Rhinolophus ferrumequinum: one gene and its partners. The protein of the gene in region 3 interacts with the protein of the main gene of each other region in a pairwise test. Links are inferred from orthologs where the notes say so. Each region holds a gene or a part of one and is shown on either strand. Other genes may lie near its edges. The genes, in order: RBM15, WBP11 and DDX17.

Region 1 (7,585 bases), on a different chromosome or scaffold from region 3:
GCCTTGGCAGGAGAATCCAGGAACTGCTGGGAGAACTCACACGGTGGGAAGGCATGAAGGACCCCGGTGTTTTCCTTGTCTTTGTTGCCCCCCACAGGGAGGCTGATCACCCCAGCAGCCTGCTTTTGCTTTAAATAGGACACCAGGTTCCTAAGTGGCCTCTGAGTAGAGGTGGCAGTGTCTGATGTGGCTGAGGAAGAGGAGAATCTGCTGTCAGAACTTCCAGGCACAGCCAGAAGAATGGCATAACCATTGGGCCCTGCCACTTTGATGCGTCGAGTTACTTCATCCAACTTGGGCTGGTCTAAACGAAGACGCTGAGTGATCTTGAGCTGGGCCACTTTGCCTCCAGTCGAGCCCTCCACGAGAAGACTGCTAGCCACTTGAAGGTCACCCTGCAACAGATGCATGTTGGAAGGAAAGTTGCTGTTCTTCAATAGAAGCATCCCCTGCCAGGCCAAACAGAGCTTGGGAGAGGCTGATGCTGCAGGAGCTGTGCCACCATCCTGTTTCTGGGAAGGGGACTTCAGCTTCGATGAAGCAGTGCTGGTGCTGGCTGCACTCCCATCAGACCGCTCTTCTTTTTTCAGAGGGCTTTTTCCCTCAGTGGCAACAGCTGTCCTGTGCTTCCTATCGCGTTCAGCTGATGCCGAGTTTTTGCGGTCTCGCTTGTCACCCTGGCTCTTCTCCAAACTACCTCGTCTGTCTCTGATTGGAGAGGGCCTTTCCAAGAGAAGACGGGAAGATCGATCATTGTCACTGTTGTAGCGATCCCGACTACTGCTCAAGTCTGGACTACGGTCAGGAGAAGGAGCGCAGTGACGTTTTCGTGGCCGGTCACTCTCCGGGGACCTATCCAGATGCCGTCCCCCACTCTCGTCAGGCAGCCGTCGCTTCCTAGGCTGGTCTCTGCTGCTGGGCAGATCTCGCTCACCTCTGTCCCGGTCCAAGGACCAGCCATCCCGCCTGCGATCCAGGCTGTCCAGTGCCTCATAAGCAGGCACAGCACTAGCTGCAGTCCGAGTGCTGCGTTCCCGGACTGGGGGCGGTGGTGGCACCCAATCAGAGTCAGTATAAAGGTCCCTATCACGATCTCTGTATAGTAAGGGTGGTGTCCGATCCCGAGCACCCCTCAAAGGGTCAGGTGCCCGATGTCCAAAAGCATCTGTCACCAGTTCATAATGAGTTAAGGGAAGAGGCTGCAGATACTGCTGCTGGTAACGATGTTCTGTGTCTGCAAAGTCTACTCTAAGGCGACGATCTGGGCCACCAAGTGGAAAGCCCCGCATATGGGTCCAGGCAGCATGAGCTGCATCCAGGCTTTCATACTGGATATACGCCCAACTATCACCTTTGCGGTAGTCTATGGTGCGTATGGTGCCAAATCGGTCAAACTCCCGTGCCAGAGCAGCAAGAGGCACCCAGGGTCCCAGGCCACCTACCCAGAGACGGGTGGTGGGTGTAGCTTTACCATAACCAATTTTGATAGGATTCCGAATTATAATTTTGCCAGACATCGCTAGTTTGGCCCGGTGAGACATGTCTAGGTTCTCAAATTTGAGAAAGCCATAGGTACTGGTCTGGCCCCGAGAAGGCCTCTTGATGTCTACTTCTGTAATGACTCCAAAGCGATCAAAAGCCCTTCTTAGATCACTTTCTGTCACAGTGATGTCTAGGTTGCCCAAGAAAAGCGTCCGGTTAGCTCGCTGATCGTCCTCTGGTGAGATCTCATCCACTTCTCTGAAAGGAGCAGCACCTGCTCCAGCTCCCACCCTTGGCTCAAGACTGTATGCTGGGCGCACTCTCTCATAGAACGAGTAGTCTCGCTCTCTCTCCAGGTCCCGGGGTAATGGTGGCGGAGGTGGAGGGGGCAGGCGGCCAAGGGCCAACTGCTGCAACCGGTAGTCTCTGTATCCTAAGGCTGCACCACCAGGGGAAAGCGATCTCTGGCCTCCACCACCCCCTCCAGGGGGGTGCCGGTGACCACCTACAGAGGACCCGACCACGCTGGATGACGGAGGATAAGGATCTTTGTCTAAAGGGGAGCGGCTGCGGCGCCGGCTCACATACACAGCTTCTATCTTCAGGGGCCGGTCATAGAGCACAAGGCGGCCTCTGGCATGCTTGGCCGCCCGCGCGTCCTCTGGCCGCCGGAAGTTCACAAACGCTACGCGCTCATCCCCGCTGCCACCCGAGAGATGACTGATTTTGACACTTACATCACCGAAGCGTTTAAACTCGTGAAACAGTCCGTCCTCCACCGCTTCGTCACTCAGCTGGGACCCCAACTCGCTTATCTTCAGTGTCTTGTACTCCCCGCCGTCCCCGCCGCCAGGAGCTGAGGAGGCGGCCCCAGAGGAACGTGACTCCCCGCCTCCACCCCGGGAGCTGCTGCGCGACTCGCCCCCGCCCGAGGAATTTTTAGTGCCTGGGGAACTGTAACTATGTAAGCGGCTACTGGAGCTGCCCCCACCAGTATCATACTCGCGGCTGCCACCTCGGCTGCTTGACTTGTCCAGATGAAGGCTGCGCCGCGACCCGCCGCCGCTGTCGGTCTTTCCGCTGCTGCTCCCATTGCTGCCACCAGAGCCCCCTAACTTCTTGCTCCGCTCCCCGCGGGAAGTCGAATCCTCACCACCACGAGAGCGTTTGGGTTTGACTGGGGAGCGCTCTTTTCCCTTCATTGTTGCGGGTCGTCGGAGGTCTTCTCCGCGGAGCTGACTAACCCGCCGCTCCGCGCTCGTTTCACACAGCGGAACCGCATGCCGCCATCTTGGACTCCGCCGCTGCAAAGGATCCCGCCCCGCACTCCTCATTGGTCAAGCAGCTCCTTTCTTCTACAGTTTCATTGGGAAAATTACTTGTCTGTCTTTACATCTCCCCGCGCTCCGGGGAGGAGCCCGCCCAACCATTGTTATTGGGTTCCCAACACCTTAGTCGGAGTACCTCATTGGTTATATTCGTTGTCCATCTTAACGGTTCCTCGCGCCAGGCTCTAGCTCCGCCCCTCGCACTCTATCGTCACCTGACCCAAAGTCTGGAGGCGTTGATTGGACAAAAAGTGTGCTCTGTAACGGTACTTCTTGCGCGATGAAAGCAGTGGTTCCACCTCCTCATCTCTTTCATTGGTTTAGACCCCGTCCTTCAACCCACTATTTGGGAAGTCGGGCCATCCGTTCTGGAGTCTTTTTCTGAGAGGCCGCCTCACAGCGATCTCGCGAGAAACAGCGCTCCTTCTTTCGACCCTTTCTTCCAACTCCTCTGGCGGCCGAAAGAAGTTTGAATCTGATTGGATGACAGTGGTAAAATCGATAGGCTGAAATAACTGTCCATCAGTCGCTTACGGGGGTAGACCCACGTTCTGATGGAGTGGACTGAAGGTGAAAGAGTAGAACTCGCGCTTGCTGTGCGACGTCATTAGACGTCGCGAGATGGTGACCAGGGGACAGCTCCGCCTCCCCGCGCTTTCGGCGTTCTTCCTTCAAATATTTGTTCGGTCCCGTGGGGTACTTGGTTTGGTTGCGCCTTCGTCTCCCCACTTTCTACCCACAAATCCCTCTGGAAGCCGTTCCGGAGCGCCCAGCGGGCAGCCTCTTACTCCCTCCGGCATCTTCGTCAACAGCCTAAAAAAGCCCTACTCACTGCTCGAGTGAGCGCTGCCCGCGCGGTCCCTAGAGCCCGCGGGGCAGGCTAGGCCGGGAGTTCACATAGTTCGGGACCACACTAACGCCCCCGGGGCGGTGCAGAGGTCGGGCGCGGGCTCTTGGGGTCACGCAGCTAGGAAGCAGCGCAATCGAGACACAGCCTCCTTGGCGCTTCCCGTTCCTGCCCAAGTACCCCGAGCAACCGAAGGGAGTGACCGACGCTCCCAGCTTCGCTGCCCGCATCGGTGGCCCGGATTGTCAGGCACCGCGGACGTGTCTGTGGGCTTCCTGTTTTATGTTGCGAATTCACATGGATTTTGGATTTTGTAGTCCTGTAAAAAGAGTATGTTTGTTTTTTATATGTAATGCCTCTCTCCGTTAAATAATCGAGTGAAGTCTACGCTCCCTGCAGACGTGTCGCATTTTTCCTGTTGCTTCTTGTATCTCCCTGCAGTTCCCCTGTCACCCCGTTATTCTATATTAGAACTCAGTGGCACAACTACGTTGCTGTCTATGGATCCACCTCTTTGGGCTTCCTCAATCATCTGCTTCAAAATCCAACTTTCATTCTTTCCAGAGACCTTTATTGTGTCAGATAATAAAGCACCTATGCGAGGTGCTGGTGATACCGAGATTAGAACAGGTACAACCTTTGTCCTGCTGCTCACTGTAGTGCTGAGTTCATCACAGCGATTGGGCTTGCTGCAGTCCTCCCAGGTATGCTCCGGGCAGAAGTTATGAGGATACTTGTACTGATTCTCTCTCGTCCACCACATCTCTCAAGGTTCAATATGGAGTAGAGAATGTGAGATGTTTTAAAACATGACATTTTTAAGGTAGCACTAATGTCCATCAAACTGAAACCTGAACTTGAAAACTTTTAGGGACTGCAACCTGTTTAGCCTTCCCTCAGCCATTCTTCTCTTTCTAAATAATCTTGAGGAAGGTGATGATGTGCGCCTTTTCTCTCTTGATTAGATCAAAGAAGTTTGAAAGAAGCCCAATATGTCAAAGCATAAAAATCCACAGTATTGTGGTATGTAGACAGACTCATTGTATTAAAACTAGCTGTTAAAACTTCATAAATCGTGAAACCGTGTGTATAATATACTATCATTTGTGGTTTTAAAAATGATATATATGTATGTGTATATATATTTTGTAAATGTAGAAACTTCATTGAGAATACTTGGGAAATTGTTACAAAGTTCATGGTGGGAGGGGGTCTGAAGGTTTCAGTAGGAGAGAAACTTAACTTTTCATTGTATACCTTTATGTATTATTAAAACTTGTTTTACCATGTGCATACTGTTACTGTTTCATATTTTTAAATATATATATATTATTTTTAGCTTTCCTTAGAACTATTTTCATGGAAAAAGTAGAATACTATAAAGAACTTCGATGTACCCAACACCCAATTTCAACAACTATCAACCCATGTCAATTCTGTTTCATCTTGACTCTTCCCACTCTAACCCCCTTCATTATTTTGTTGCAGGCTTAGCTGGTACATTATCTGCCCCAGACATACAATCAGTCATTTCTCCAAAGAGTTTTGGTTTCTTTTAGTGGGAAATAATATTTTAAGACAAAAATCTGGATGCTAGGGGATAAAAAAACAACAACAACCAACACATTGTGTGTAAAAGCACAACACAAAAATCTTCACATAGGGTGTTTTAATCTATTGCAAAGTTATATTAATACAACACAAAATTGGAGGTAAGTCATTATCTGATTACTTAAAGTAATAGCCAATGCAAATAAACCAGGCTCCAGACTGATTTTTTTGACCTAAATTGTCCTGCTTAAGTGATTCACTGATCAACAAAAGAGATAATGACCAAATCAGTATAGTTTCCCAAACCTCATAATAGTGAGTGAGGGAACACGAGAGAATTCAGGGAGCTGGTACCAGTATGTGTAGCAGTGCCTGAGTCTCTGCTTGGTGTGGTGGCTTGCCATATGTGATACTAGCGAGCTTGGTGGAGCTACTGCCCATAGCTGGCTTCAGCACGAAGGCTTGCCTAAGGGGACTGATACCCAGTCTGCTGTCTAGAGGACTGGTAGTTCAGTGGGTAGATAGTAAAGGCCTAAATTTCATTCTCAGTAACAGAGCCAAAATATAGCCCGTGATGTGTGTGTCCATGTGTCCATGAATAATGGACTGAATAATGACAATATGTTGATTCATATTGTAGTCAAAATAAGATTTTTTCGTTTCCTTTCTGTTCTTTAAAGTATGAAGCTGCTTAGTGAGGTTGAATCAGCCTGTTTTCACTCGTGAGCTTAGGGAGACCTGAGAGGATAAAAGTGACTCATGGTTTAAAGGGCCAAGACTCAACACTTTTTCTGGTGTGGGTGATGGAGTCGTTGATGTCCAGTCCAAGCTTTCATCTGATCTCCTGATGATCTATGGCCAGATTTGTGAGAACCGCTGACCTGGGCAAGGAGGATCTTTCAGCTGTCATGAAAATGGAGTTAAACTGCCAACAAATTCCCTGAGCATCATAGCATGTTTTATCTCTCCTTTCAGTGTCTTGTCAAAAGCCAAGTGTGTTGAAAAGCTGCCTTCGCCCATTCTGGTGTTGGTATGGGCCCCTTAGAGTTGTACAACTTGAAGGTCCTAGAGGACTCGGCTCAGGGGGAGAGCAGCCATAGCTTTCCATATGAAGTGCTTTCTCTTATTTCCTTGAAAATCACTTTTAGATTTAAAAGGAAAAAGGAAACTGTTATGCACATGGAAGAAATCTGCAATTAAAAGACATCAGTGTGTTTTCAATCAAATGTCTTCTTTCCACCCCCTTCCTTCCTACATTTTATTGTTGTTATAAACTCAGTACACACACAGACAATTGCAATAAGAAATGTGTCTTGGGAGCCCAGAGTTATTTGATTTCCTGGCAGATGCAAAAAGGCCTGTAGCTGGGAATGGAAAAATTGTTCCCACTCACAAGAGTGGATTAAAATTTTCTATTTCGCCTTCCTTCATAAAATGAGTGGTCTCCTGACAGTGAGGTTTGTTTGTTTGGTCTGCAGAAAAAGTGTATATTTTACACACAAGCATATATTAAATCCCTAAAATAGTTAACAATCAGTTAGGACCCAGTTTGCATTATAAAGTCACTTACGTATTTGTGGTTTGTGGGGTTTTTTAAACAGCTTTATTAAGATACAATTTACATACCATAAAGTTCACCCAGTTAAAGTGTACAATTCAGTGGTTTTTTAATATGTATATCCAGACCTGTATATGTGTTTCATCCTTTAATATTATTACAGAAAGCACTCTGCTATAACTTCTCCTAGGTGACTAAGCCGTAATATAATTGCCTCTTTATTTAGACATCTTAAGGGGCAGTGGTTAAGAGCATGGGCTATGGAACCAGCCAGCCTAGATTAAATCCCAGCTCTGCTTTGGGCCTCAGAATAGTTACTGTTAATTTTCTCTGGGCCTTGATTTTCTTGTCTATAAAATGGGACTAATCATAGAATCTCTTCACTGGGAGGATTAAATGGGATAAAACATGTAAGGAGCTTAGAACAGTGCCTGGTACATGGCAAGCATTACTAATATAGTTTCTCTTTGCACTTGAGTACATGGAATTGGATTAATCATAATCTTTAATTCATGACATACAATCATCAATGGTTCATCCATGGACCGTTAAACTTTTCATTTATCAAGAACATAGTGAATACTCAGGAACCTACCACTCAATCCAAGAAATAGGAAGTTACAGATGATTTACATCTACCTTAATTCTCCCTTATACACTGCCTACCCCCATAGGTAGCTACTCTCCTGAATCCGGTATTTAGCAATCCCTTGTTTTGGTTTAAGAACGTCAAAGAACATTTTGAAGGAATTTTAAAGAATTCTCTGTGTGCGTGCGTGTGTGTGCGCGCGCACGCGTGCACGCATTAAATACAACAAG
Region 2 (7,681 bases), about 20 Mb from region 3:
AGTCCAAATTTGTGGTTATCAAATTGCAGTTTGCAACCTAATGATGAATTTGGGAAATATTTAATAGACCCTCAACAAATAGAATTACTTTTCTAAGTACTGTCTTAGGGAAATTTGTGTCTGTTGCGTGGGTGTGCGTGCACTTGTATAGGTGTGTACTAGATCTGAATCAAAGATAAAAATGAATTTCTGACTATGATAAAAGTTTATTCCACCAGGAGTACCAGTGCAGTTTTCTAAATTAAACATCATAAATTATCATGTTCCCAATCCATTTTTTAAAAATGGTCCCCTCTCTATTCCCAAATTACATCTTTATGACTTGGAGGATAGATTAATTTCATGTTTACTTTCTTGAGAGAAAAACACCTTCACTCCTTTATTCCATGTTTCTCAGGTTCCCCATATCTAGGTTAAGAACATGATCCTAAGATAGGGCCCAAGTTAATCAAGATATCGCTTACTCATAGAGAGAATGTGCCAGATCCCACACAGATATAGAGAACTCCATTTTCTCTCAAGGGTTTAAAGGAAAAATAAAAGTGCCAGGCACATAGTAAGCCTACTCAATGTAACCATATTGAGTAATATTGTTCTTACTAGGCTCAAACTTTTACCCAAATAAACTCAGAAGAACATGCTTATTCCTTTTTCCTCTGCATGATACTCTGAGCCAGAAGTGTAAACTCAAAAGGCTTCTACCAGGCTTATTTTATTCATTCTATGGTACTCTTGCTAATTATTCCTTAATATTTCTGTGAAATGACATTATCTTCTTTCCAAGGCTAATTCTAAATTATCTTAATAATGGCCAAGTGCAATACAGACCATTTTAAATAATTTCATTTATAAACTTTGCAAATAGAGAATCAGAGGCAGTCATGATTGCACTGTCCCTTGCACCATGCCCACTTTCTCAAGTGAGATTTTAATCCACGGCCTCTTGACTGTATACTCTCATCACAAGGATTTTTTGTAAAGATTCTATTGTTATATTCGCCTTTCAATGTCCCTTAGGTTTAGAGAACAAGTAATTTGCCCGTAAAGATATAGTGATTTAAATATTGTAAATTAAGTGACAAATTAATAAATATTGTAAATTAATACAAACAAAATTACATATAAATAGCCCTGTAAACTCAGAGATCTTAATATTCTTCTGGCCCTACTAATTTAACTCCAAATATCAGAGAAATAAATCTGGAAGTTCTTTGCAGTGTGGTGACCAGAAGTTGGAGAAATAAAGGAGCACTGGCTATCAAGAGCTCACCATTTCAAACTGTGTTCTGTTTCAAATGTTATTAGACATTACTTGGAAATAATCACATTTACTTATTAATAATCAGATGCTTGATAAACACAAGTATTTCCTATCTACGACTTCCCCCACCACAAAATGTAATAATGCCTTAATTAACGCATCAATAGGCTATATTCCGTTGCCCACATTTCCACACACTGACTCCAAGTTTCATGAAAATAATTGTTTTCAAGAACCCATTGAGTTTTCTGAGGAATTCCTTACATAGCACATTGCTACTTTGCTATTCATGAAGTAAAAGATTTCCTGGTCAAATCTAAGCAGACAGGAGATATTTTTCAAGATTTTTAGTGAAAATTTACCATTTTATTTTTCAGAGATCATATCTGAAATATGGCTCACAGTGACTTGCTCTACCCAGACAACCCAAGGAGGCGGGAAGAAGTAAACCGTCTTCACCAACAGCTCCTTGACTGCTTGTCTGACAGCTTCTATGCCACCAATAAGTTGATTGGGGTTTTAAATACACATTTGGGGTGCAGGCTGGTCTCCATTGAGATGAAAAGAGATGGCACCATCAAAGAAAACTGTGATATCATCATCCAAGCTGTGATGAAAATCCAAAAGGAATTGCAAAAGGTTGATGCAGCACTAAAAGATAAACTAGAGCCAACACTTTATAGAAAACTTCAGGATATTAAGGAAAGGGAAACAGAGAAAATTGCAATTGTACAAAAGGTTATTTCAGTCATCCTGGGAGAAGCTACTTCTGCAGCCAGTGCAGTGGCTGTTAAACTCGTGGGCTCAAATGTCACAAGTGGCATAATTAACAAGTTGGTCACTGTGTTAGCTCAAATTAGTGCTTCCCTCCTTGGTAGTATAGGAGTTGCTCTTCTTGGCCTTGGCATAGATATGATCTTCCGTGCCATCCTGGGAGCAGTGGAGAAAACGCAACTTGAAGCAGCCATCAAAAGTTATGAAAAGCATCTGGTGGAATTCAAGTCAGCCTCAGAAAAATATCATCATGCCATTACTGAGGTCACCAACACAGTGGAACACCAAATGAAATAAATAGCCACTTTATTTGCCACTGGAATATTTTCTGCTTCTCTCTCAATAATAGTGCTTTGTTTCTTTGATTAGGTTAATTTTCCATATTCTTCCAACAGAGACATAAGTACAGTAAACAAACTGGAAAGAGGAATTACAGATGCTAAAACTAGATGACTCTAGAGTTTTGCATCAACAATGAATGCCTGGATCAGTTGGTGCTAGATCCTGTGAAATAGAAGATTATATCCGAGGATTCTTCTCACTCTGCTCTCTATCAGGTCAACATTAGCGTAAATGATATTATAGAGCAGCAGGTGTAGGGGTTACCTTTTCCTTTTCTAATTCCCTGTCAAAATCCTTAAAATTTACATTGAATGCAGAAATTTTCATTTCTACTTCAGACATCATTTAGTTCTATGGGGACATAGTAACTTCTGCCTGAACACAAACCACAGGCCTTCTAAAGGAATAGAAATACTACCATAAGTTTGACCATCAGTTTAAATTCAACTTTCTGTAAACTGGAAGAGACTAAAATATGGCTTGTAACAATCTACTTCAACGATGAAAGGAGGCAATGGTTCTGGAAACTTCTAATTCTATAATTTGGATGGATTTTTAAAAGACAAAATTTAAAACTAAAAGATAAAGGTTTTGTTTCTATAATTGCAAGCAACCTGACCAACTGTGGTGTGATGATTAAATATCCCTCAAGTGAATGTTTGAACACTCTGGAACATTTAAAAAACAAACAAAGCAAATCCCAGCACAAAATGCATCTAGGATACAGGAGAGGAAGTAGCAACTTTTAAGAATTTTAGAGGAAAGTCATAATTTATTACCTTATGAGTTTTCAGAAAAAAGAAATTTCATTTTCAATACTGGCAGAATGGAGGAAGTTGTCATTGTATATACAGCTTTAGGTGGCCCATTTCATTAATTACCTACTTTCAGAAAAATCTAGAGGCTCTGGAGGCCTAATGGTTCAGTTGAATTTCTGCAGATGCACGAGTTTGTTTCCTAAATCCTGCACCAACTTTTAACTCCCATTGAGGCTCTCAGATTCTACTTGTAAAATTATTAATAAGCTGTTGATGCAAGAATGTGTTATAGTTGATTCTTGAAATTTGAAAATTTCAGCATATCTTAAAAATTAAAATCTAGATGAAATACTTGAATTTTTCAAATGTAATAATTTTCTTTCATTATTTTTTCATCATTATTTTTTAAAATTCGTTGTAAAACATCACAATTTAGTTCACCTGCAAAATTAAACTTTTTTATTACCTGATTTATAAGCTTTAAACTACAAGATCTTTTTATTGTTCTTTCTGGGACTCAAAATTCAGTCTAAAATCAAATCAAGAATTTCCTAAGACAAAGGTTAGTTTAGGTAAGGGACAAATGTACAGTTAAATGCACATTTAAATATTCTGCTAAAAGTTACTATGTATCTCCATCAGTATTTTGTACTATTTATAATTGATATTAAGAATTGACCCATATCTAACATATTTTCCTACAAGGGATATGATTAAGATCAAAAATAAACAAGCGTGTCCTTTAAGAATAGAATTTTAAAATATAAAAAATTTCCTTCAAGGTGAAAAGACAGGGGAGGTGTCATAGAGAAAAAGCGGATAGAAAAGGAAAAGGAAAGGACGAAGAATGGAGCCAAGGGAATAATCCCGTGTATACAGTGACATCATAGAGGATTTTTGGCTGGTGAAAAGACCAGAGCCGATACAATATAAGTTCGCCCGTAGTAAATGTAAAACTGACAGCACATGTATCCCCACATTTCCTTTTCAAAGTACTAATCCTGTAGATTAGCAATCTGGCTCTGTAATATGGGCACGGATTTGCTCAGGTCTACAAATGTTCTGTGTGACTATAAACTACCGAACTTTCTGATCGTCATGACTCTAGCACAGCGCAAACACCGTAGCAATTATTTGGGAATTCGTTTTCAAACAGACACTCCCAAAAGATCGCACTAGCCTACGTCACAAAAAAAAAAAAAAGAAAGAAAGTCTTAGAACTAACACAACTCCAGGAGGCCGAAAGAGCGCCTCGCCGGTCTTGAGCAGCGCAATAAACGAAACTCCCGGAAATTAGGTCAGAACGCCTCCTTTTCCAAGAGCCGATCTTATATCCGAGCGGCTTCTTTTTCTTATTTCCATTGGTCTACGGAAGTGTCAATCAAGGTGCTGCGTCATGAGGGCGGGCTCTTAGTCGATAACCAACCAATTCGGTACTGTATTGGAGCGGAAGACTCTGGTCCCGGAGTTCTTGGTTACTTCCTATGCTTCCAGGGCGGAGAAACCGTGAGTTCGTCGGGCTACAGGGATAGGAAGTGACGTAGCAATGGCGGAGGGGCGCGAGGTTTCAAGATGGCGGTTGCTGGATAGCTGACCGGGAGGCAGAGGTGAAGGCCCCTACCAAGTCAAAGAGGCCGAAAATCGTCCTCTCCCCGCTCCTTGTAGTCCTAGAGCCCAGCAGAAGTGTGAGTGTGCGGGATTGTGCCAATCGGATTCTTCATCTTTCCCGTTCCTTCGTGGGGCACGCGCGGTTGCCTCGGGGACACAAGGCCTCTCTGCCCCGTGTTTCCTCTCCGCGGTTGGGTCTCCCGGGTAGCCGACTGGAGGATCCCCGAGCCTGGGGCGGAGCGGCGACCAGCGCGGTTAAGCGGCTGACTCCCCCAAGTCGGTTAGCGCCGCCTCCTGTCTGTGCACGTTGACTGGTCGCAGATAGCCTTAGATTTGATGTTTGTGCTTCGAGTCAGGTTCAACCGTCGCTATGGTTTCGGCAGTTGCAGCTACTGTTGGCCTTTGGTGGATCTGGGCCCCGGCCCATTGGAGCTTCTTGGCTCGGTTGTCTAGAGGTCCCCCCACGGTTTTGTGGCCCGATTTCCCCGTCGCTTCTGTTTCAAGACATAATAGTAGTTTGCGCAGACTAAGGCCCCAGTTTCCTCTGTAAAAATTTTCTGTAATTCGTATTCTGTTTCAGGTTGGGGAAGGTGGGTTAAAAGAGCCTGAGGGTAATTGAGAGAGGAAAGCAAAAAAGATGCGGGCCATCAAAGATAGGAGAGCTTGTATTTGTACTAATTTTGCTTGCTTCTGCCTCTCTTCTCCCTCACTCCCAGGTTTTATAAGAAGGAAATCCTTGACAGGGTAAAGTAGTTGCCATTGGAACAACTTGGAAGCATTTCGCAAAAGTCAAGGCAATTGAACACTTGCTGAAAGAGACATTAACTAATAACAAACTTGTCTGATGAGATCTTCATAAAGAAGGAAAGGTATAATTGTATGGTCTACTAAAAAGTTTACCTCGGGCCTATAACTTCCCTAGTAAAAGGTTTATCTTTGCGTTAAGCCAGTCCTGTCCATTGCTTCTGTGCATCTAGGTTAACATACTTTTGAAATTGCTCTTTTTTGCCAGACCTCTCAGAGGCTTAATGACTCTCAAGGGAGCACATAATCTTGTTAACTGTCCTGTAATCCAGGCATAGAAATTTCCCTGCCTTGCTTTTTCCCACCTTAAAGCAATCTTCCTTAGGGTCCATCCTTCATTTTGAAGTATAAACAGGACTGCAAAACTCATTCTCCAGAGCATTTTTGAGGTCTTGATGCGAGGCAGGTTGTCAGTTTGGCTCGGATAAGCTCTAATAAATTCATACAAATTTTCTACAGGCTTGGACGTTCTTACTTTGATGCAGCTTTTGGTGTTTTTTTAATGAACAAGTGAACCACACAGATTGTCAACATGGGACGGAGATCTACATCATCCACCAAGAGTGGGAAATTTATGAATCCCACAGACCAAGCCCGTAAGTATCCATGAGTGTGGAATGATGAAGAAGAGCTGTGGTAAAAATTGCAAGCATTAGGAAATCTATTTCATGATGTCCTAATTTCAAGATTAGCAGTGCTAGGAATTGGTTGTATAAAGTTATACAGTGTTCTTGTGGGCACGTGATTAAAACTTGAATAAAACATGCAAAAAAAATTGTGTGCATATTTTTAATTTGATTGACTTGGAATTGGCTTAAAACTTCTTTTTGTATTTGGAATTTTGAATAAATTAGTTCTGCAAGTTCTTTAGTATTTTATGACATCTTTTTTCATCAGGTTCCTAGTTCTTCCTTAAGCTTAAAATTTCTCGAGACATTTTTGGTTGACAAAATTAGAAGGGTGCTACTAGCATCTCGTAGGTAGAGGCCAGCGGTGCTTCTGAAGGTCCTACTGTGCAGGACAGCCTCTCACAATAAGAATTGTGTTAAATTGAGGAAATGTTATAATAAGGTTCAAGGTTTGAAAGTTTTTTTTCTCTTTGTCTAGGAAAAGAAGCCCGGAAGAGAGAGTTAAAGAAGGTATGATTTCAGATGCATCAAATTAGCTATTAAGTGTTGTTTGGCACATTTTATCATTTGGGATTAGTGGATTTCCAAGTAACATTTTCAGTTACTTGCCAGAACCATAAAATGTACTAAACCAAAGTACCATATAGCTGCTCCTTGTTACAATGGGGTTATGTCCCAAAAAACCCATTGTAAGCTGAATATATCTTAAGTTGAAAATGCGTTTAATACACCTAGCCTACCAAACATCATAGTTTAGCCTGGTATACCCTAAATGTGCTCAGAACACTGACCTTAGCCTCCAGTTAGGCAAAATCATCTCTCTGCCACTGCCCAGCATCATGAGAGAATATCATACTACATGGCTAGCCGAGGAAAAGATCAAATTTTGAAGTACAATTTCTACTGAATCCAAGTGCCTTTGGCGCCATGGTAAAGTAAAAAAAAAAATCGTAAGTCGAATATTGGAAAGTCTGGGACTTTTTGTACTTGGGAACAAAACTAAATAACCTTGCTGATAAGCTCATGATGGGTTATTGTAACATTGTTTATTTGAGTATCTTTCCCAGTGAGTTAAATAATACACTTTTGAAAATAATTCTTTTTTTGTTAGTTATTAAAACATACTGCTTTGTTAAAAGCTACTGAATTAGTGGCTGTAAATAAATGTGATGCTAACTAGCTTTGTACATTCGTTTTCCTGGTTATGTAGCTGTTGAGTTGATGACAAAGTGCTTTCCCAGAATAAGAAAGGATTTACTTTTCAGTATCACATTAAGAAAACTCAGATTTTTAATTGTTTTCAATTGTGTGTTTTGTTACATTGTTTAGCAATAATTCCTGTAAAACTTGAATGTATACCTTTAGAATATAACTGAAACCTGTTTAAAAAAAAACTGCAAATTTTTTTTTTTTTTTAGTAACTGCTTTAGATCTCATAGATACTTGTCTCAGAAAGCACATCTAGTAAATAACATTTACCTTTTTGTCTAAAGTTGAAACATTTT
Region 3 (8,093 bases):
ACATAATTTTAAGTAACAGAAAAGCCAAGTCTCTAGAGAGTCCTGCAAAGAAAATAAAAATGACCAAAGACCAATTTCTAGAGATTGTCTAGTTTGTATCAATTAATGTGGTTCCTAGAAGGTGCCATTTCAACACTGCTACTGCATTCTAATGCTACCCAGACCTTAATAACGATCTAGAAGAAAACAGAACTTTTCAAAGGTTCCTTTTTAGACTTATTCAAAGTAGCCCTTAATTAAAAAAATATTTTTTTCCTTTCTCTATGTTGCTTTGGCTGATTATCCAAGACATACTATCCTACACTAAAGATGTAATTTGAAACATGGGGTTCTTTATAAATATGCTGACTTCAATATTCAAGAGAGCCTTTTACTCTTAGAATTTTTGAGCACATTCGTGCCATCCTTTAAAGATGTGTGTAATCCTAATCCCTAGCATATTATGCTATCCATCAAAATATTTTTATTGAGTATTAAGTTTAATTTGGCTTTGCAATAAACACAGCTTTGAAGATTCATGTATTAACATGCAAAATCAAACCAGTTTAAATGAACAACGTACATTTTTGGACTATCGGTACATACACTGATCTCACTTATTGCCTTTTCAAGATATTAATCCATTTCAGCTGTAACATTCAGTTACGGACAAAACAATAGCAATTCAAAACAAAGTAAATTTCATAGTAAAGGTAGAGTCAGGGCACAGACCTTATGCAAGGGTGTCATTTTAATAATTTTTAAAACTTTTTAAAAAGTGTCATCTGGTACTAAAATCAATATGGGATAAACTAAGTATGAATCAATAAAATTCACTTATTTCTCTCTTTAAAGTTTTATTATTAAAGCATGTATTCTATGGAATATTAAGTCAAACGCCTGTGCTAAAGAAATAAATTATTAGTATCTTAGTGGCCTCTACATACCTCATGTTTACAACCCCCACTATAACTACCTCAAACTTGAACCATTCCCATGCTTTATTTATAATTTTGTCACATTTGTAGGTATCCTTATATGCATTACCCCACCACAATTTGCTTTTTCATTCAATATTGTGAGTCATCCATGTTGATGCAAGCTTTTTTTTTTCACTGTTGTACTGCATTCTACTATATGAATATCCATAATTTATCCAGACATTTGGGTTGTTTCCAATACTGTCATGAACGATGCTGGTATAAACATCTCTGTATATGAATGCGGGGGCACAAGTCCAAGAGTTTCTCTAGGCCTTAGAGTCTAGGGCATAAAGTTTCAGAGAAGAATTACTGGGTCATTTTTGACTTTACTAGATAACCTTAATTTCTTTTCCCTAAGCAGTTGTATTGAAATTCACTTCTAAATTTGGCTATACTGTGAAACACTAAGCAAACATTCCACTTCTAGTCCTCCAAACTTAACACCAAGATAAAACATTTTCCTTCCTACCAAGGTATAAATCAAAATAATTTTTTTATTTTGTAAATTAAGTGATAATTGAGGTGCTTGTGACTAGTAGATCTGATACTTGTATACCTGAACAAAAGAAAATATTTGGAAATGTTTGGAGAAAATATTAACAACACCTAGTACAGAGACAATTACATGCATTCTCTCAAATTCCCGAGAACAATACAAAATACAGACAATTATTATCCCCATTTTCAGATGAGAAAATAGACTCACAACAGTTTAGGATTTTGCCCAAGGTCACACACACATTAAGAAGTGGCGTCACATTACTTTTCATCCAAGAGATAAAACTTTTATTACAAAAAGTTAACAGCACAAATCGACATGGATCTGTATCATAAGCAACTTATTAGTTTAACCGACATTAAGATTTGAATCTCAGTATGTGGGAGAACTTGTTTTAATGCTGTCAATTGCCAACCCTGTTAACCATGGCCTAACTGCATCAAAAACTTTCTAGATAGGCCGAGAAGTTAACGCTCCAGTCCGCTTATAGAGAAAATAAAAATAAGACCGAAACTTGGAAAAAACCCCAAAACCCTCCCTCCCCAAATACAGCCATTTGGATGGTAATTCCATTGCTTTATGTTCCAATGTGCGTCCTTCCATTTAAATACGACTGAAGGAATTTGAAAACGTTTTTAAAACTAAAACCCAGACTTTTAATTAGTCTCCAGTTTCAGAAACTGGAGACTAACAGTGATCTCTGGCTATAGATAACATAAGGGAAGCCATTTCGCGTTAAGCTTTTCCTAGACTGAACTCAGAGACCTCCATCCTCTTCTCAACAAAAACACCCGTGTTTCACAGATAAACGCTGAAGCCCGGAGACATCAAGTGAGTTGCTCAAATCCGCCAGGCTCCAAGAGTCGCCAAGCGAGGCGAGGCGAGGCCCGGATGGGGTCTGCGATGGCCGGGCCATCCCCCTCCCGCTCCCGCTCCCCGCGAGGCTGGGGCCGTGCGGCGCTACGACCGCCGTCCGCAAGGAGGAGTTGGGGCGTCGCCAAGCTACCACCCCCCTGCCAGGTCATCAGTGACTTCGGGGCCCAGGCCCACCCAAAGGCCTGTGCTCTAAATCGCTATTATGTCCCGGGTCGCCTCGCCTCCCCGAGTCGGGAGCGTTGTTCGCAGGCCTGCGTTCTGCTCCAAGTCTCCCGCTCTCCCGCAGGCGGCGGTCTCCTCTTGAAGCAGCCCCCCCACCCCCATGCACACACAAGGCCTCTCCTCTCCCCCTCCTCCCTTACCCTCCACGGTCACGATCCCGGTCCCGGTCCCCAAAGCCGCCTCCGCGCATGGTCCCAAATGGATAGAGATCTGGGAGCGGGGCACGGATGGCCGGGCTCGGGAGGGCCTGCGGCTCCGGTCTGGTGACGACCGATGGCGGCGGCGCCTCCGCTGTTGGGGCGGCGGCAGGCGCGGCGCTCTCTCGCTCCGACGCGCTGTCTCCCGTCGCAGACGCCACCGTCGCCGCCTCTCTCGTCGGAGACGGGAGCAAAACACAGAGAATCGGGGTTATAAAATCAGTGGGCAGGTTTGGCTACGCTCAAACCCGGCAGTGCCGCGGTTTAGGCGTCTCCTTCCTTCCCAGCGACTGCACAAAATGGCGGCCGGAGCTGAGACTGCTCCAGCTTAACGCTACGTACGTCGGAGCCCATACGTAAACAGCGTGTCGGAGTCGCCGGAGGGCTTTGCGGAGTACTACGGGTATTCTTGGAAGCATTTTTCGTCAGTTGCGGAGATGGACGCATTTTGCGGTTGGTAGAAGAAAAACAAAGTACGGATCGGGCGTAGTTCTCGCGTCGCCTAAACTAGAACGTGGGGTGGGGGTGGGGGGTGGTGAGCCTCCGGCGCGACGTAACATTCTTTGCGTCGTTAGCTGACCCACTGTTGCGAAGATGCGCAGTGTGCGTAACGCCTTCTGTTTGGAGAATAGAGGATTTTGCCGGGTTCGACCGCGGGACGGAACCCGGTCTTCTTGTGCAAGTTGCTTTGCCCAGACAATAACTGTCCTTCATTCTGCAGTCAAGTTTCAGGGTCTCCAGGTGCCAAACGCCCAGGAGGGTCTTTAAGGTCCCTGGCGGGCGCTCTGGCCCCGCCGCCCTGGGCCCCTAGACTGGCCGCGCGCCCCGGCGCCATTTCTTTTCGGTTGCTTCTCGCTGTGCCGGCGCCGGCAGCCATGATAGATGTTCCTTGTCCCTTCTTTCGGGTTTTGGTCAGGTGGCGACGTCTCACCTGGGTTAAAGCACTCTGCTACACTTAGTCACACTAAAGTGCACGTTCTCAACAATATTTACACTGTCCCCTGCTGAGCACAGCTGGCTAACAAAGAACCAAAATGTGGGTGGAGCCCTTAAGGTAGACGCTGAGATCCCTTGACCGCCCTTAAGCGGGCGCTGCCTCATGAGGCCCATGGCAGCCCCTTAGCGCTCTCCCGAGAGGAACAGAACGGTTTAAAAGCGGTGGTCTGCAGACACAGAAAAGGTGAAGGCATAAGTCATGTTTGTAACCAGCCTAGGCCGTGTCCTTAATTCCTTCTAATCTGGCTTCCCTCTCCCTGCCTGCTTCCTTCTCCCTCAAACTACACTTTAAAGTCTCAGAAGCTTGGCCTGACAGCGTCACGGAATCGTTGAGCTGAGCTGTTAGGGCCTCAGAAGAGCAGCTGTTTAACCATGTCTTATTTATTTCTACATATGGGTATAAGTGGGGGAGATTTGAGGTCCCTTATGGTAGGGGCTGACTGGTGTCTCCTACTCTGTGCTCTGAGTGTTTCCCAAATTATTACAAAAGTAGCATAAGGAAAGGATCTTCGTGACAAGCTGTTCAGATGTCTCTTGGGCCACAAATGCCGATGAGTAATCAGATTAATTGAACAAGTGTTGAATGCCTAATAGGCCCAAGCACTGTGCTAGGAACTGGTGCACAGCAGTGAACAAATGAGTTACTACACTCCTGGAGTTCACACTCTAGTGGGGAAGACAGACAATAAATGTTTATGTCAGGGTTGCTAACTAAAATAAAAAGAAAAAAAATGAAGCGGGGGGGAAAAGGGATAGAGGTATGTGTGTCTGTAGGAGGGAGTGTATACCCGTGCCTCCCTGATCAAGTGACATCTGAGCAGAGACCTCAAGGGAGGGAGCTAGCCTTGCTGACATACAGAAATGAGCAAGTGCAAAGGCCCTGAGGCAGAATGTGGCTGGAGTAGCGCAAGGAGGAAAGAGAGGGCCAGATCTTAAAGGGCTTGTTGGCTGCGGTAAGGACTTCGTTTTTTCCTTTCAGTAAATTGGATATGTCTAGAAGGTTTTAAGCAGGGTGACATAATAAATGGACCCCTATGGCTGCAGTACGGGGAATAAATTGAGAGTGAGCTAGGACAGAAGCAGGCAGATTAATTAGGTTAGTGCAATAATCCAGCAAGGGATGATGGGGCTTGGCATGGGTTAATAGCAACCAGTAAGGGAGAAATGGCCTGACTGAAAATCAAGCTACTGATTTAATGATGGGTGGAGCACGAAAGAAAGAAGAGTCAAGGATGACTCTTGTAGGAATTGGCCAACAATTAAGCTCCTACTGGGATTTAGACTGTATAGCACTGAGAGAGTTATTTGGACTGGTTTGTCTATCCTATATGCTAAGTAATTAAATCTGAGGCTCTCTATATAATAATAAATAACTTATATAAAGTAAATTAGGTCCATCGAAAACCCCCCTAAATTTTGCAGGGGAAAATAATTCATATATTGCTACTAGATCAGGTCCCTGTTTTATAGCATCTCATAACTCCTTTATCTTCAGAAAGCTTCTCATAGTACATAACTATATATTTATGTCATTATTTTTTTGCCCTCCAAAAAAAAAGTGAACTTACAGTCTTCCTCTGGCAGTCAAGTTTCTGAATATAAAGTGAATCCATAGTATGCATTTCTCATTATTTGCTGTATCTCTGTGTTTTCCTACCAAAGATGGTTGAAACTTATTACATTTTTCTAAACATAGAGGGAGATTTTCATTAAATAGGGCAGCCAGAGAACTGAGACATTTCATTAGTAACAGCTAAGACTTGGTAAAAATGAAAATGTGCTTTGCTCAATTCATCCTTTTTTTGAAAACCTAACCATACCTTACCATATCATATGATCCAGCAATCACATTCTTTGGTATTTACCAAAAGATGTGAAAATTTATGTCCACACAAAAACCTGCACAAAGATATTTATAGCAGTTTTACTATAATTGCCAAAACTTGGAAGCAACCAAGATGTCCTTCAGTAGGTAAACGGATAAATTGTGGTACATTCAGGCAATGAAATTTTAGTGTGAAAAAGAAATGAGCTATCAAGCCATGAAAAGACCTGGAGGAAACTTAAATGCATATGACTAAGTGAAAGAAACCAATCTGAAAAGGCTACATGTTGTAAAATTCCAAGTATATGACATTCTGGAAAAGGCAAAACTATGGAGATGGTATAAAGATCGGTGATTGCTAGGGGATGGACGAAGGACAGGATGAACAGGTGAAGCAGAGAGGACTTTAAGGGCAGCGAGACTATTCTGTATGGTACCATAATGGTAGGTACATGTCATTACACATTTGTCCAAACCCATAGAATGTACACCACCAAGAGTGAACCCTAATGTAAACTATGGACTTGGGGTGATTATGTGTCAATGTAGTTTCATTGACTGAAACAGGATGTTGATAGTGGGGGAAGCTATATGTATGTAGAGGCAGGGAATACAGGGAAACTCTGTATTTTCCACCCAATTTTGCTGTAAACCTAAAACTGCTCTGAAAAAATAATATTTAAAAAGAAATACCTAAGGACTGAAAACTATTGAGTGCTCTCATGTTCACTATGAGAGACACGTGCTATGAGCTTTTATTTTATTCTCATCTGTAAACGAGATAACAGTACCTCATAGGGATTTTGGAAGGAGCAAATGAAACCCCACTCAGAGGGGTGCCTGGCACATAACACTCAACATATGTTAGTGGTTAGTTATCATCTCTCCACTTTACAGATAAGAAAGCTGAGGCTTGGGGCGGCTGGATGGCTCAGTTGTTTAGAGCGTGAGCTCTGAACAACAGGGTTGCTGGTTTGATTCCCACATGGGCCAGTGAGCTGCGCCCTCCACAACTAGGTTGAAGGACAACGACTCAGAGCTGATGGGCCCTGGAGAAACACACTGTTCCCCAATATTCCCCAATAAAATTTATTAAAAAACAATGTGAGGCTCAGATTAAGTGCTAACCCAGGATCACACAGCAATTAGCATAGGCTGGACTCAAACCTAGGTGCTCTGGCAAGGTTTTGACTTGGCACTATTTAGGGCCGGATATTTATTGTGGGGGGTTATCCTATGCATTGCAGATGTTTAGCAGCATTCCTGGACTCCACCCACTAGATGCCAGTAGAATCTCCCTCCTCCTCCAAGTTGTGACAATAAAATGTTTCCAGACATTGCCCAATGTCTCCCAGGGGGCACTGAGAACCACCCCAGTTGACAGCCACTACTCTGGGACCACTATGCTATGCTACCTCCCTGTGGGATCACAGGGTCAATATCATTCTCTTTCCATTGTCCAGTTTTCCTGCAGATGTGGTTTCCTTTCTGCAGACTCCACCTGCCAACAATACCATTGCCATTTTTCGTTTTATCTGTGTTTTATTGTTATTATAGCAGTACAATTTATACTCGACTCGATTTCCAACCACTAAGAGAATTTTTCCATTTGTTTAAAGTTTTAAAACTGTAGTTCTTTGTTTTTAAGCTACTTTTACTGTAAACCACGTGTACTATAATAAGTTCTACACATACCTTCTCTTGTCCCATTGTCACAACTTTGCAATGTCATCGTCGTTAAACTCACCTAATGTGAAACATAATGCCTCTGCCTTCTATCTTGGTAGGACTCAGCTTGGTTCTTTGATAGCTTGGTTTATTGTACTTTAGATACAAGAGATTGAGAGTCCTGAGGTACTTAAGTCAACAAGGTAACTTGAAGCAGTGGCCTTTAACTGTGGTACACAAGGGACACATAGGAGCAGAGACTTTTCAGGAAATCTATTTCCAGAACTTGAACTTTCATATATACTCCTTTCTAAAATTGAGATGACTGCGAAATTTGCTTAAAATTGCACCCTCTCACTTTATAAATGAAAGAATATTTCTCTTCTACCCAAAATTTTACTACGGACTTTGCCATGGAAGTAAAAATCTCAGAGATCCCAATACGGGGATAGTTAGAAATGCTGACATTGGTGACTTGAAAAAAGTAAATGATCCTAATGCCTTGGTAACATGTCCATTTGCAAATTAGGAGAATTCCAGCTCTTTGCTTTCAACAAACAGGAAGGAGGACCATGTGGAATTTCTACCGACAGATACATTAAAAATAACTTGAGATAATTACTGGCTTTTTGGCATATTGGAAGAAGAGCAACAGGAATGGAGTGACATTACTATAACAAGACTTTTTCCATTCTCACCTATTAAATGATGTGATCAAAATTTCTCAGCACTGACGGCTATGAAAGGGAGAGAAAAAAAAAAGAATAGCCAAAAATAAGTGTTCATAGACACATGATCTATTTTTTCCTTAGTCTCCTTCTATCTTATTAAAAGATACATTTCCAATA

What was found.
Region 1: the proteins of DDX17 (region 3) and RBM15 interact in binary tests that used the Homo sapiens proteins (3 or more experiments, as listed by UniProt). The link is inferred for Rhinolophus ferrumequinum from reciprocal best matches to the Homo sapiens genes DDX17 and RBM15.
Region 2: the proteins of DDX17 (region 3) and WBP11 interact in a two-hybrid assay, tested with the Homo sapiens proteins (3 studies listed by BioGRID and IntAct). The link is inferred for Rhinolophus ferrumequinum from reciprocal best matches to the Homo sapiens genes DDX17 and WBP11.

The regions. Positions count from the first base shown.
Region 1 is NC_046305.1:42,294,291-42,301,875, reverse strand, and holds the start of RBM15 (RNA-binding protein 15), read right to left. Parts: upstream 3,023-7,585; 5' UTR 2,817-3,022; coding exon 1-2,816. UniProt on the Homo sapiens protein: RNA-binding protein that acts as a key regulator of N6-methyladenosine (m6A) methylation of RNAs, thereby regulating different processes, such as hematopoietic cell homeostasis, alternative splicing of mRNAs and X chromosome inactivation mediated by Xist RNA.
Region 2 is NC_046293.1:29,069,201-29,076,881, reverse strand, and holds the start of WBP11 (WW domain-binding protein 11), read left to right. Parts: upstream 1-4,618; 5' UTR 4,619-4,742; exon of another isoform or gene 4,743-4,820; intron 4,821-5,459; 5' UTR 5,460-5,612; intron 5,613-6,006; 5' UTR 6,007-6,079; coding exon 6,080-6,143; intron 6,144-6,654; coding exon 6,655-6,686; intron 6,687-7,681. Other genes in the region: SMCO3 (single-pass membrane and coiled-coil domain-containing protein 3), read left to right, coding at 1,655-2,332. UniProt on the Homo sapiens protein: Activates pre-mRNA splicing. May inhibit PP1 phosphatase activity.
Region 3 is NC_046293.1:8,627,288-8,635,380, reverse strand, and holds the start of DDX17 (probable ATP-dependent RNA helicase DDX17), read right to left. Parts: upstream 3,064-8,093; 5' UTR 2,750-3,063; coding exon 2,700-2,749; intron 1-2,699. UniProt on the Homo sapiens protein: As an RNA helicase, unwinds RNA and alters RNA structures through ATP binding and hydrolysis.